Canis lupus familiaris: one gene and its partners. The protein of the gene in region 1 interacts with the protein of each later gene in a pairwise test. Links are inferred from orthologs where the notes say so. Each region holds a gene or a part of one and is shown in the gene's direction. Other genes may lie near its edges.

Region 1 (3,745 bases):
CCAAGTGGATTTCCGGGGGCTAAAAAGCAGGTTTCCTCTCAGAAAAAAAATTAAGCATGTCTGTATGTTTAGTTACATTAATCCTAGAAGAAGGCTTCAAGTCATGGCTGAGGGAATTAGGAAAAATACTTTGGTTCTTAAATCTTTCACTCATTCTTGATGTTCCTTTGGAGAATGGAATTGTAACCCAGTTTGTTTTTCCAAATCGTGGAATGGCCACTTTGACTCAGTCTTGTGTGTCCAGGGAGGCAGTCCTGCCCCAGTGCAAACTCATTTACTGAGGCTCCGTTTCTAGCAAGGTCTTTGTTTTGGGGGGCTTTGCTTTAATTTTTTTTTTTTTTTTTAAGAGAGCAAGGGAGTATGAGCAGGGGGGAGGAGCAAAGGAGTCCAAACTCCTGCCAGACCCTAGGACCCCAAGGTCATGACCTGAGTTGAAGGCAGATGGCTTAACTGAGCCACCCACGTGCCGTTGTTTGTTTTTTTTTTTTTCGTTTGTTTTTTTAAAAGATTTATTCATTTTCATTTAGACCCAAGTACAAACAGGAGGGGCAGAGGAAGGCTGACGGAGACTCCCAAGCCAAATGCATTGGCCCAGGGGTTCCACCTAAGGACCCTGAGGTCATGACCTGAGCTGAGACCAAGAGCAGGATGCTCGACTGGTTGGGCCACCCATGTGCCCCTAGGCACTAATTGAGCGGCTTCTCGGCCAGAAGGAATTACAATCGGGCCTTCTGCCCATTACATTTTTCCGGAGTGTGGGGAGTGGCCACCGCCCGCCCACCCCATTGCCGGCACCTCTCCCGGAGTAGCTGCGGGTCCTGGACTCTGTCAGGTCATTTTGATTCGCATCTTGGCCCCCTTTTCTTCTCGCTGGAGCTCCTTTCTTGCAGTCCGGCCAGAGTGGGTCCCGGGCGAATCCTTGGATGCCGAGGTGTTCCCAAAACACAAAGAGGGACCACGTGCGGGACGGCGCACCCCCGGCGGCGAGCTGAGGCGCCCGCCGCTTCCGGGGCCAGCCCCGCCCCTCGGCGGCGCGCCGCGCTCTTCCGAGTCTCTATGGTACCAACTTCCCCCGCGCGCCACTCCTCGCGAGACTTCGGCGGCGCAGCAATGGCGAGATCGTGAGTGCCGCTGACGGGAGTCAGGAGAACGGGCTGGGACGGGGCTCGGGCAAGATCGGGCCGGGGGAGATCCGGCAGGCCTGGGCCGCCTGGCGCGGAGCGGCGGCTGGGGGCGCGAGGCCCCTCTGGGCCTGGACAGCCGCCCACGACCAAGCTCCCGCCTCTTTCCCAGATGCCGCGTCACTGCTCCGCCGCCGGCTGCTGCACACGGGACACGCGCGAGACGCGCAACCGCGGCATCTCTTTCCACAGGTCAGCGCGCGTGCGCATGCGCCCGTTTTACCCTCTTCGCGGAGCCACGATTGCGCACGCGCCTTCCTCTGTTTGGCGCGAGGCTTGTATTTGTAGGTGGGAAGGGGTGACGGGGGCGGTGCCGGTAGGACCGGCTCTAGACGGAAAGGTGGCGCGGGCGGCCCGCCGGCCTGGGGCCTCTGCCCTCGGGCCCTTACCTGCCGGGTGATCCCCAGGAAGTTGCTCTCCTTGAGGCCTGTTTCCTGGCCTGGGCCTGGCAGGTGGCAGCGGGTGCCCGGCCAGCCCTCGCTGCCCGGAGCGCGGGCACCCTGGTGCTCACTGGTTTGTGGCTCCGCAGACTTCCCAAGAAGGACAACCCGAGGCGAGGCTTGTGGCTGGCCAACTGCCAGCGGCTGGACCCTAGCGGCCAGGGCCTGTGGGACCCGGCTTCCGAGTACATCTACTTCTGCTCCAAACACTTCGAGGAGAACTGCTTTGAGCTGGTGGGCATCAGGTGAGCTCCTCGGCGGCCACGGCCGGGCAGGGTTTGAGGAGCTGGCCGCTGGGGGCGGCTGCAGGGCCAGGAGAGGAGGCTCCTGAGTCACTGGCTGGGGGACAGCGTGGCTGCCTCTCCCCAGCCTCGTATCTCAGGGACCGCGAGACCCATCCCCTCGGGATGACTGTGCCACTGGCAGAAAAACACGAGCTTTCTCAGAGGCCGTTCCTTGCAGCCCAAGTCCTGCCAGCAAGTCCGTAACAAAATCATTCTTTTTGGCTGGTCAGCCTAGTTCTTAACTGTGAGGAGTCCCGCAGGGAAGAGATTGGTGTAACTGCCTACCTTGGCATTCCTTTAGCTACGTGCTTGCAACATGCCTACCCACCTCCCACAGCGCTAGCATGGGAAAGCCTGATTCGGGGTGCTGGAGGCGTGGTAGTTCTGTGCCCCGCAGGTGGCCCCGGGTGGCAGTATGTGTTGTCCATCTCATCCAGGCTGCTTTCCCCTACAGTGGGTATCACAGGCTGAAGGAGGGGGCGGTTCCCACGATATTTGAGTCTTTCTCCAAGCTACGCCGGACGACCAAGACCAAGGGACACAGTTACCCACCTGGCCCCCCCGACATCAGCCGGCTCCGGCGATGCAGGAAGCGGTATGTGTGCTGTGGGTGGAGGGTGCCTCACTCCCACATCAAGTCTGAAAGATTGGACTGTGTTTAAGGTGTCAGCAGTCTTGCTGAAGAGGGTTCAGAGCCAGCAGCATGGACTCTGATGGGCTGGTGACTTGGGATCTGGCAAGGCCTTGGCCCACCCCATTAGTCTCTCTCTCCCTCTCTCTCTCTCCTCTCAGATGCTCTGACAGCCGGGGGCCCACGACTCCATTTTCTCCACCTCCACCTGCTGATGTCACTTGCTTTCCTGTGGAAGAGGCATCAGCCCCTGCTGCTTTGCCTGCCTCCCCCACTGGGAGGTTGGAGGCTGGCCTCAGCAGCCCCTTCTCAGACCTCCTGGGGCCCCTGGGTGCCCAGGCAGATGAAGCAGGCTGCAGCGCCCAGCCCTCACCGGAGCGGGAGCCAGAGAGACAGCCGTCCCCCCTTGAGCCACGCCCCGTGTCACCCTCAGCCTATATGCTACGCCTCCCACCCCCAGCGGGCGCCTACATCCAGAATGAGCACAGCTACCAGGTGGGCAGCGCCCTGCTCTGGAAGCGGCGGGCTGAGGCCGCACTTGATGCTCTGGACAAGGCCCAGCGCCAGCTGCAGGCCTGCAAGCGGCGAGAGCAGCGCCTGCGGCTCCGGCTAAGCAAGCTGCAGCAGGAACGGGCACGGGAGAAGCGGGCGCAGGCTGATGCCCGCCAGACTCTGAAGGAGCACGTGCAGGACTTTGCCATGCAGCTGAGCAGCAGCATGGCGTGAGTGAAGGGCTGCTGGCCCCGGAGCTTCGGGCTCTTCCTCCCTCAGAATCCACCTGGAAAGGGACCCGGTCTGAGCTGTGTCCACCAGACCTGCCAGATGCCATAATAAAGTGGATTCTAGGAGGCCCTACTATCTGCTTCAGCTGGGGCTGGGGTCCCTCCCCTGGAGTCCGAGCTCTCCGCTGTGGAAAGCAGGAAGTCTGGCTCTTGCCCGCCCCCCCTCATGCAACTCCAGGCCCCACAGGTTCTCTGAAGGACAGGATGGTGTGAGCAGAGGCCAGGGCCGGCGCCAGGAACCTTCTCCTTGGTACCTGAAGCAGTCTAGGCTTAAGCGGTCTAGTCCCTTTGAAAATATTCGTGAAACCCAGGCCAGATGCAGTTTGCGGGGACACCTGTGTGGCTTCCATCTGCTGGCCCAGTCTGTCCAGCAGTCAGTAGGGTGCAGCACCTGAACACCAGCCACCCCCTCACCACCGGGCTGGCT
Region 2 (3,745 bases), on another chromosome or scaffold:
TGATTGAAGCATAAAGAATCAAAGAGTTAACCCCCGAGACAGAGCAGCATATTTTTAGGAGCCGCCAATAATATGTTAATGAGACCTGACCCTCTAAAGTCTTACTAATAAGCTAATGGTTCTGTTCTGCTTCTCTTTCCAGCTGGTATTTTTTAACATACCCTTGATGGCTTACCTGTGTTGGAGCTTGCTGCAGCGGTGCTGTGGTCACAACTTCCGGTCTCATCTCCATCAAGGAAAATACTTGAAAATTATACCTGTTCACCTACTTATGTTACTGCTATACATCTGGCAGATTTATTCCTGCTACTTTCTTCATATGACATATGGCACTTTAGCTTTCTTCTTCTCCCCTTTGCGGACCTGGTTGACACTGTTGACACCTGTTATCATTCATAGTGTGTGGACTCTGAACTCTACTGAGCTTGGAACCTTTGTGGCACAGTTAAAAAGCCACCTGAGCTCCTGAAGGCCTTGTCTCACCATCCACCTCTTTGGCCCAGGCCTCTGCCCCAGCAGCAGGTGGAAGGCCAGTGATGGTGGGCAAGCTTCAGGGAGCTGCTGCACCCTGGACACCTGGGAGTTGAGTGGGATTACCCACTACTGATTCCTACAGAATGGACTGCAGAAAAATCTCTAAATAATGCCATGATTCCTTCCTTCTCCAAGAAGGCAAAGGATTGATTTACTTTTGTTCAGAGAAAGTCCTAATCAGGAGATCCACAGGTGAGGGACTGGGTGTGTGTATGGGAGTATTTTTTATGGTTACCTCGTGTAAAGTACCTAGCACAGTATGTGGAATTCAGCAGCCCACAAGGGTGCCACGTTGGGGGCAGGGAAGCTTTGTGAACTTGGGCCCTACCTTGACTACCCTTGAGATAATTAGCTCAGGTCTACTTTTCCCTCAGGGTACTGGGTTCTCTGCTTCTTTAGGTGGGGTGCTTTCAGCTAATCAAATAAATGAATGATGAATAAGAACTCTGACTGGGCCTTGCATCTGTGGGCGGGAGGAGGCGAGGCCGGGACCCTCGGGGGCGGGGCCAGGCTTCGGGAGTCGGAGGGGGCGTGGCCGGAACCCCCAGCGACGAAGAGAGGCGTGGCCCGGCCTCGGACGCTGAGAACGGGCGTGGCTGGGGCCCCGGGGCGGGGCCGGGCGAGTTGTTGCCGGAAACGAACCCGGACCTGAGGCTGCCGGAAGCGGAGCGCCCGCTGCCCTGCGGCCCTGGCAGCCGCCTCGGCCGCTCTCGTCCGGAGGTTCCAGGCGATCTCCTGAGATGGCGAGCACAGCCGCACCTACAGCCGCAGTCCCCACCCTAGATCCGCCTTTGGAGCAGATCCGGCGCTTGGCAGTGGAGCTGCGGTTGCTCCTGCCTGGCGTGCGGGGTGAGCTGACGCCTTGGGGGCTGGTGACGGCAGGGGCGGGCTCGGCTAGGGAAGAGGCCGGCGGGGGCGCCGGCGGGGGCGGGGGCGGGGGCGGGGCCGGGCCGGGGTGGCTCCGCTTACCTGTGCTCTTCCTTTTGCCACCCCCGGTCCACATGCTACACCGGCTACAGTTGGCGAAGCCCGGGAGACCACCAAGGAGTTTAATGCTGAGACGTTTTGGAGGAGACTCAGTGAGTGCCTGTCCTGTTGGGGACTTCTGTTTCTCATCCCTTCCAGGGTACTGACGACCCCTTTCCCTCCCGCTTTCCCCCCCTCCCCTCCCCCCGCCGCATCCTCTCAGTCCTTTGCACTTCGGAGGTTGGGATATGAAACACTGATCCGGGGAGGTGTTTTTGAGGCTGACATCTCCAAAGTCCATGCAGCAGCTGCAGGCTTCTCCTTTTGGCGCTGACAACACGGCCCCTCCCCTCTGTCATCCCTCAGACCGGGCAGCAGAGAACGTGTCGAGGGAAGCCACGACCCTGACTGAAGTCTTCTCTCGAGTTCCACTGCCCTCTCCGCAGGTGGGCTTTACTTTCCTGGAATCCTTGTGCTTGCCTCGTTGTTCATTAGGGATCCAGTCGTTTTCTTTCCACCCTTTACACTGAAGCCAGGGGGTTAATTTTCCACACCTGTCAAGTAAGATTGCGGTTCTCACCTCGCAGGGGTGCGAGGTTGCCAAGGGCAGTCAGCCCCTGGCATGCCGTGCTCAGGTCATTCAAATAGGTATTGGTTCAATCTGCAGTTCATCCTGGTTATTTCCTTTCTGATAAATATTTTTTTTAACACTCGCTATTTGCTAAGTGTTTTCACATACGTAATTCCCACCTGACAGATGAGTAAGCGGGCTTAGAGGCTCAGGTTAAGGTAAATAAGAGTGGAACTAGCATTTAAATTAGGGCCCATGATGTCTAAACGACACCTTTTCTGTTATGCTACATAATATCCTTTTTGTATTGAATTGCTTTTTATATTTAATCAGTAACATATATATACAATATAAAATTCAGAAGATGTCAAAGTTAAGTGTGCTAAAAAATTTATATTTCTCCTCCCCAGTTACTTTTGTATTATTCCATATATATTCGATGCACATACACACTCATGTGTATATGCCCGCTTCTTTTTTACACAAATGATAGGATACTATAAACTATAAACACTTTTCTGGACCTTCCTTTAAAAAACAATTAACAACATGGCTTGCACATTGATTCTTAGCAGCACATATGAAGTTGCTCAGTTCTTTGTAATGCTGCATGGTATTCAATAGAGTGTATATAACTATAATTTGTTTAATGATACTTTATGTGGACATTAAAGCTCTTTCCAACTTGTAACTATTATAAACAGTGCTGTGTAAATTGCCTAAGACAATCTTTGTATATATCAGAAGTGGAATTGATGGAACAAGAATTTATGCATTTTTATTTTTATTTATTTTTAAAGATTTTATTGATTTATTTGAGAGAGAGCACAAGTGGTGGGGAGGGGCAGAGGGAGAGGGAGAAGCAGACTCCCCACTGAGCAGGGAGCCCCATTCTGGCCCAGATCCCAGGACCCCGAGATCATGACCCTAGTTGAAGGCAGATGCTTAACCAACTGAGCCACCCAGTCACCCTGAATTTATGCATTTTTAAATAACCAGTTATTATAAAATTGATGAAAATAAACATGTTGGCTATGACTATGCTTTATGCTATTTTTCCAGAACTAGGTATACTTAATTTGAGAGTAAGATTATTTTAAAAATGGCATATTCATTGCCTTATTTGGTTTTAATAATCAGTGGTTTGATTCTTTTTTCAATCTATATATCCAGATGTTTTAAAATGGAAAAAATATTCTTTTGCTGCACCTACAATAAGCTCTCCCTACCCCCTCCCCCCGCATAGGTCCCAGAGAACTGTGATAAGAAAATAAGAAATGAATTGTTAGAGAGCATTTTAAAAGCTTTGCTTAAGAAAGTCAATATTTATTTCAAAAGGAGTAATATTACCTTATTTTTATCTGTTGATCCTTTCTTTCAAATATACTTAGGACTTGTTGCTAAAATTCACAGCTAGTAGGACACTATGAGGAGCAGCATAGAATTATTTTTCTGTACATGCTCAGGACAGTGGGTTCACTCATAGGTGAAAAGTTTTAGTTTTATTTGAGTTATATGTATTTGAATCCCATTTGCTTTCTTAGGATCTTAGCATGTTAGTCTACTGAAAAATGGTTTGTTTTGTTTGTTTGTTTGTTTTAATGTTTTTGGATGTTGAAACAAAGTTACATTGTCATAAACAGTTTTAAGCAGTTACTCTCAATCACTGTACTT
Region 3 (3,645 bases), on another chromosome or scaffold:
AATCCCCAGCCAATAGGATTCTGACCCTTTGAACAACAGCTGCCAACACCCTGAAGGGTCTGGGGAACCAGGTTAGCTTCCTCTTTCTTCCATAGCTCTTGCCTCCCTTTGGCCCAGTCCACTTCCTAATCAGCACCAGGCAACACAGCCTATTAGGCTGTTCTTCGAATCTGGACTGTTTCAGTAGTTAATACCCTATCTATGAAGTTCAAAGCTCAGTAGGATCAGATTTCAATACTAAACATTTACTGAGACCTTACTCTGTGTCAAGCCCGATGTTGCGTACTTAATAAACAGCATCTCAGACTTCTCGCGGCCATCCTGTAGATGAGTGAGTTAGCCTTGTTTTACAAACAAGGAAACCAAGGCTCAGAGAATGTAAGAAAGTTGTCCACAATCATATAGCTAATCAGTGGTAGAACTGAGATTCTTTTTAAAGATTTTATTTCATTCTTTTAATTTATTTATTTGAGAAAGAGAGCACAAGCAGGGGGAGCAGCAGAGGGAGAGGGAGAAGCAGGCTCCGCGGGGCTTGATCCCAGGACCCCGAGATCATGGCCTTCACCTCGGGTCTTGATTGATCTTAACCGATTGAGCCACCCAGGCGCCCCCAGAACTGAGATATTTAACAATAATCTGTCTGCTTCTAAAGCCCACACTCTAAAACCCACCATGCTTCTATTCCCAGGCTTCTTGAAATTGAGGCGTGGTTGGCTGAGCTACAAAATGGGGCCTCTGGAAAGATTTGGGAAACCCATGTCTCAGAACCTCGGACTAATTCCTTCTCCCACTCCCCCAGGTTTACCTGCGAGCCATCGATGTGAAGATCCTGCAGCAGCTGTTGAGCTTGAATGAGGGCATCGAGGCTGTGCGCTGGCTGTTGGAGGAGAGGGGGACACTGACCAGCCACTGCAGCAGCCTCACCAGCAGCCAGTATAGCCTGACAGGCGGGAGCCCAGGCCACTCAAGGCGAGGCAGCTGGGACAGCCTGCCAGACACTAGCTCCATGGACCGGCTGGACAGTCTCTCCATTGGCAGCTTCCTAGACACGGTGGCCCCCAGCGAGCTGGATGAACAGGGCCCCCCTGGTGCTCCCCGCCCTGAGACGGACTGGGCAAAGGTTATACCCAGTGGGGACAGGGCCAGGACTGAGGTGGACCCGACAGCCAGCAGACTAGGGAGCTTGAGGGCTGTATGGAAGCCCCCAGGGGAGGGGCTCCATGGTGGACCTCCTGAGCCCCTAGAGGATGAAGGTGCCAAACTGGGCTTTGAGGCCCACTGGTACTGGGGGCAGTGCCAGGATGACGTGACCTTCTTATAATAACTTTCCCACCCTTTTGTATTCCTGTGGCTCTTTTATCGCTAGGCCCTGGTCTCCCTAGAAGTTTATTCTCCCTCATTCTGGGGCTAGGAAGAGGCTACATTGAAATCAGTTACCATGGAAACTGGTCTTACCATCCTTTTGGTCCCTGAGGAGGCTGTCCTTTATCCCTCCATTATTGGGACCCTAGAGCTATTTCCACAGATACATTGACTCTAGAGGCTTGGCCCGTGGCTCCTGGTGTGATAGTATCTCTTCCCGTGCCCCTGCAACTAGGTCAGGATTTGAGGGATTTAGGAACCCTAGGAGATCGCTGAAGAAGAGATGGGGGTGCAATGACTTCACCCAACATCTTGGAGCCTTGGCCCCCCTCTTGGCCAAGATGGAGATTGTGGAGGGACATGGACATTCAGGGCCAACCCTCCATGGATTGGCCCTCCCAGAAGCCTTTGGGGTTGGTAGAACCACCCCTTCCTGTCTGGTGAGTGATGTCACTTCCTGCCAAGATGGGTTAGCCTCTCTTTGGTACGGGTCCTTAGGGGTCAGTATGCAGGTGGCTGAGCCCCTGCTGCTAAGTGAGACCATACCATTTATTCTCTATACCATTATTTCTTGCAAGTGGGGACATTCCCCCCTCCTGGGAGGAAAGCTGCTCACTGCCAGGGATTTGTGCTTCTTTTCAGAAAGATTCTTACTTTTTAAATGGAATGTTCTCATTTTAGTCCAGAGGGTCTCACTTCCTCTGTGGCCACATTCCTGTCTGATGCCAGTAGTCCTATATCTGTGCGTTTAGGAAGGGAAATGCCGGGGCCTCTACCCACAGCTCTCACAAGTTTGTATGGCCTGCCCTATTTGGTCCCCTGTCTTACCCTGTCCCTGGCTTGCCCCCCTTCTTGTATTCTGGCTCCAAATCTGTCTGCCAGGAGGTTCAGCTTTTGTGTCTCCACACCTTCTCGGTTTCCACTTCCACTTCGGGGCCTCAGGCCTTTTATATGCAGATGAGTTTCCCCATTTCTCCCCCCCAAACACCTTCTTTCCCCATTGCTGATGGAAATCTGAGGGAGGAGAAGCTTGAAGTCTCTGGGCTCTGGGGGGGGTGTATCATAATTTCTAAAGTGGGGAGGTGTCTTCTCTGATCCCATGATTTCCCTTCCCCCATCCTGCCCGGGACCTTCCAGCATAGGGTCACAAGGATGCCTGCCAGAGGCTGAGACACAAGAACTCCCCTTGTCTGGGTTACAATGGATGGTGGGGGGTGGGGGGTGGCAGGGAAAGACAGAGGCCCTTTGGTCCTAGGGCCCACATCCTGGGAGGGGGAGAGATGGTGAAGGGGGGAAGCCTACTTTCCTTCCTCCCTTAGAGCAAGCCCTAGATGCCTGGGACCTGAGGAGAGGGCAGGAGACCGGTTCTGGGCCTGGGTCCTTGGACCCTAGGGAATTACAACGAAGAAAGAATTCACAGAAGCTGCCAACCTGGAGCCCAAGGAGGGGACAGATTGGGCGGCAGGGACAGCGGTGGTGAGAGCAGGGGCTGTGACTGATGTCAGAGAATGAATTATTGGCGATTAACCCTTGGAACCCCAGCTAACTGCCCCTATTTTGGTCCTTGTCTTTCCTGGGGCCTGAGACTAATTATAGGAAGGCAAAAAAGAGAAAAGGATGTCAGGTGATCCTTACCTAGTTGTTGTGCCGTCTTGTGTGGAGGTGTCTTCCTCCAATCCTAAAATAACCCCTGCAGTTTCTTTACTTTTCTTTCTCTGCTGGGGAAGGGAAGGAAGCCAAGTTCATCTCCACTTCCCCTAAATTCCTCAGGTTTTGTTCTGCAAGCACTGCGCCCGGTCGTTTGGCGGCAATACATTCAGTCTGTAGCTCTCTCCTAAAGACTCTCTCCTATCTCCTCAAGGTGATGGAACTCTCTAAAGCATATTCTTAGCCCCTCCTCCTTTGCCACCTGCCAGCCCTCTCTGTGCCACTTCTCCTGGACTTGGGGCACCTGCCGCCCCCTCAGGCTGGGAATTCAGATACCCCTTTCCAGTGCCTACTCTGTTGCCATTTTGTAATGTACTCTTGGGTAAACTACCTTTTCATTTCAAAGCCTTGTATTCCTTTTTGAAGTGCAGTGTACTCCTTTGGGTAGGCTACACACTTCTGAGCTGAAGAGGTTGCGCACCCTCTTGTGGCCATTATGTACCATTGCCGGGGTAACTGCACAGAAGCCCTAAGTTCAAGGAGACAGACCAGCCCCTTTGTGCACAGACAGGTAGAGAGACAGGCCTGAAGAGGGCCGAGACTTGTCCAGTGTCACCATTGTAGATCTACACCAAT

Evidence for each region.
Region 2: the proteins of THAP7 (region 1) and CCNDBP1 interact in binary tests that used the Homo sapiens proteins (3 or more experiments, as listed by UniProt). The two-hybrid records come from large-scale screens. The link is inferred for Canis lupus familiaris from reciprocal best matches to the Homo sapiens genes THAP7 and CCNDBP1.
Region 3: the proteins of THAP7 (region 1) and LURAP1 interact in a two-hybrid assay, tested with the Homo sapiens proteins (2 studies listed by BioGRID and IntAct). The two-hybrid records come from large-scale screens. The link is inferred for Canis lupus familiaris from reciprocal best matches to the Homo sapiens genes THAP7 and LURAP1.

Annotation. Positions count from the first base shown.
Region 1 is NC_049247.1:30,665,532-30,669,276, forward strand, and holds THAP7 (THAP domain-containing protein 7), read left to right. Parts: upstream 1-1,137; 5' UTR 1,138-1,293; coding exon 1,294-1,469; intron 1,470-1,710; coding exon 1,711-1,866; intron 1,867-2,359; coding exon 2,360-2,500; intron 2,501-2,697; coding exon 2,698-3,262; 3' UTR 3,263-3,391; downstream 3,392-3,745. UniProt on the Homo sapiens protein: Chromatin-associated, histone tail-binding protein that represses transcription via recruitment of HDAC3 and nuclear hormone receptor corepressors.
Region 2 is NC_049251.1:10,346,513-10,350,257, forward strand, and holds the start of CCNDBP1 (cyclin-D1-binding protein 1), read left to right. Parts: upstream 1-1,149; 5' UTR 1,150-1,274; coding exon 1,275-1,383; intron 1,384-1,553; coding exon 1,554-1,613; intron 1,614-1,866; coding exon 1,867-1,946; intron 1,947-3,745. Other genes in the region: TMEM62 (transmembrane protein 62), read left to right, coding at 143-469. UniProt on the Homo sapiens protein: May negatively regulate cell cycle progression. May act at least in part via inhibition of the cyclin-D1/CDK4 complex, thereby preventing phosphorylation of RB1 and blocking E2F-dependent transcription.
Region 3 is NC_049236.1:14,251,536-14,255,180, reverse strand, and holds part of LURAP1 (leucine rich adaptor protein 1), read left to right. Parts: intron 1-799; coding exon 800-1,321; 3' UTR 1,322-3,645. UniProt on the Homo sapiens protein: Acts as an activator of the canonical NF-kappa-B pathway and drive the production of pro-inflammatory cytokines. Promotes the antigen (Ag)-presenting and priming function of dendritic cells via the canonical NF-kappa-B pathway.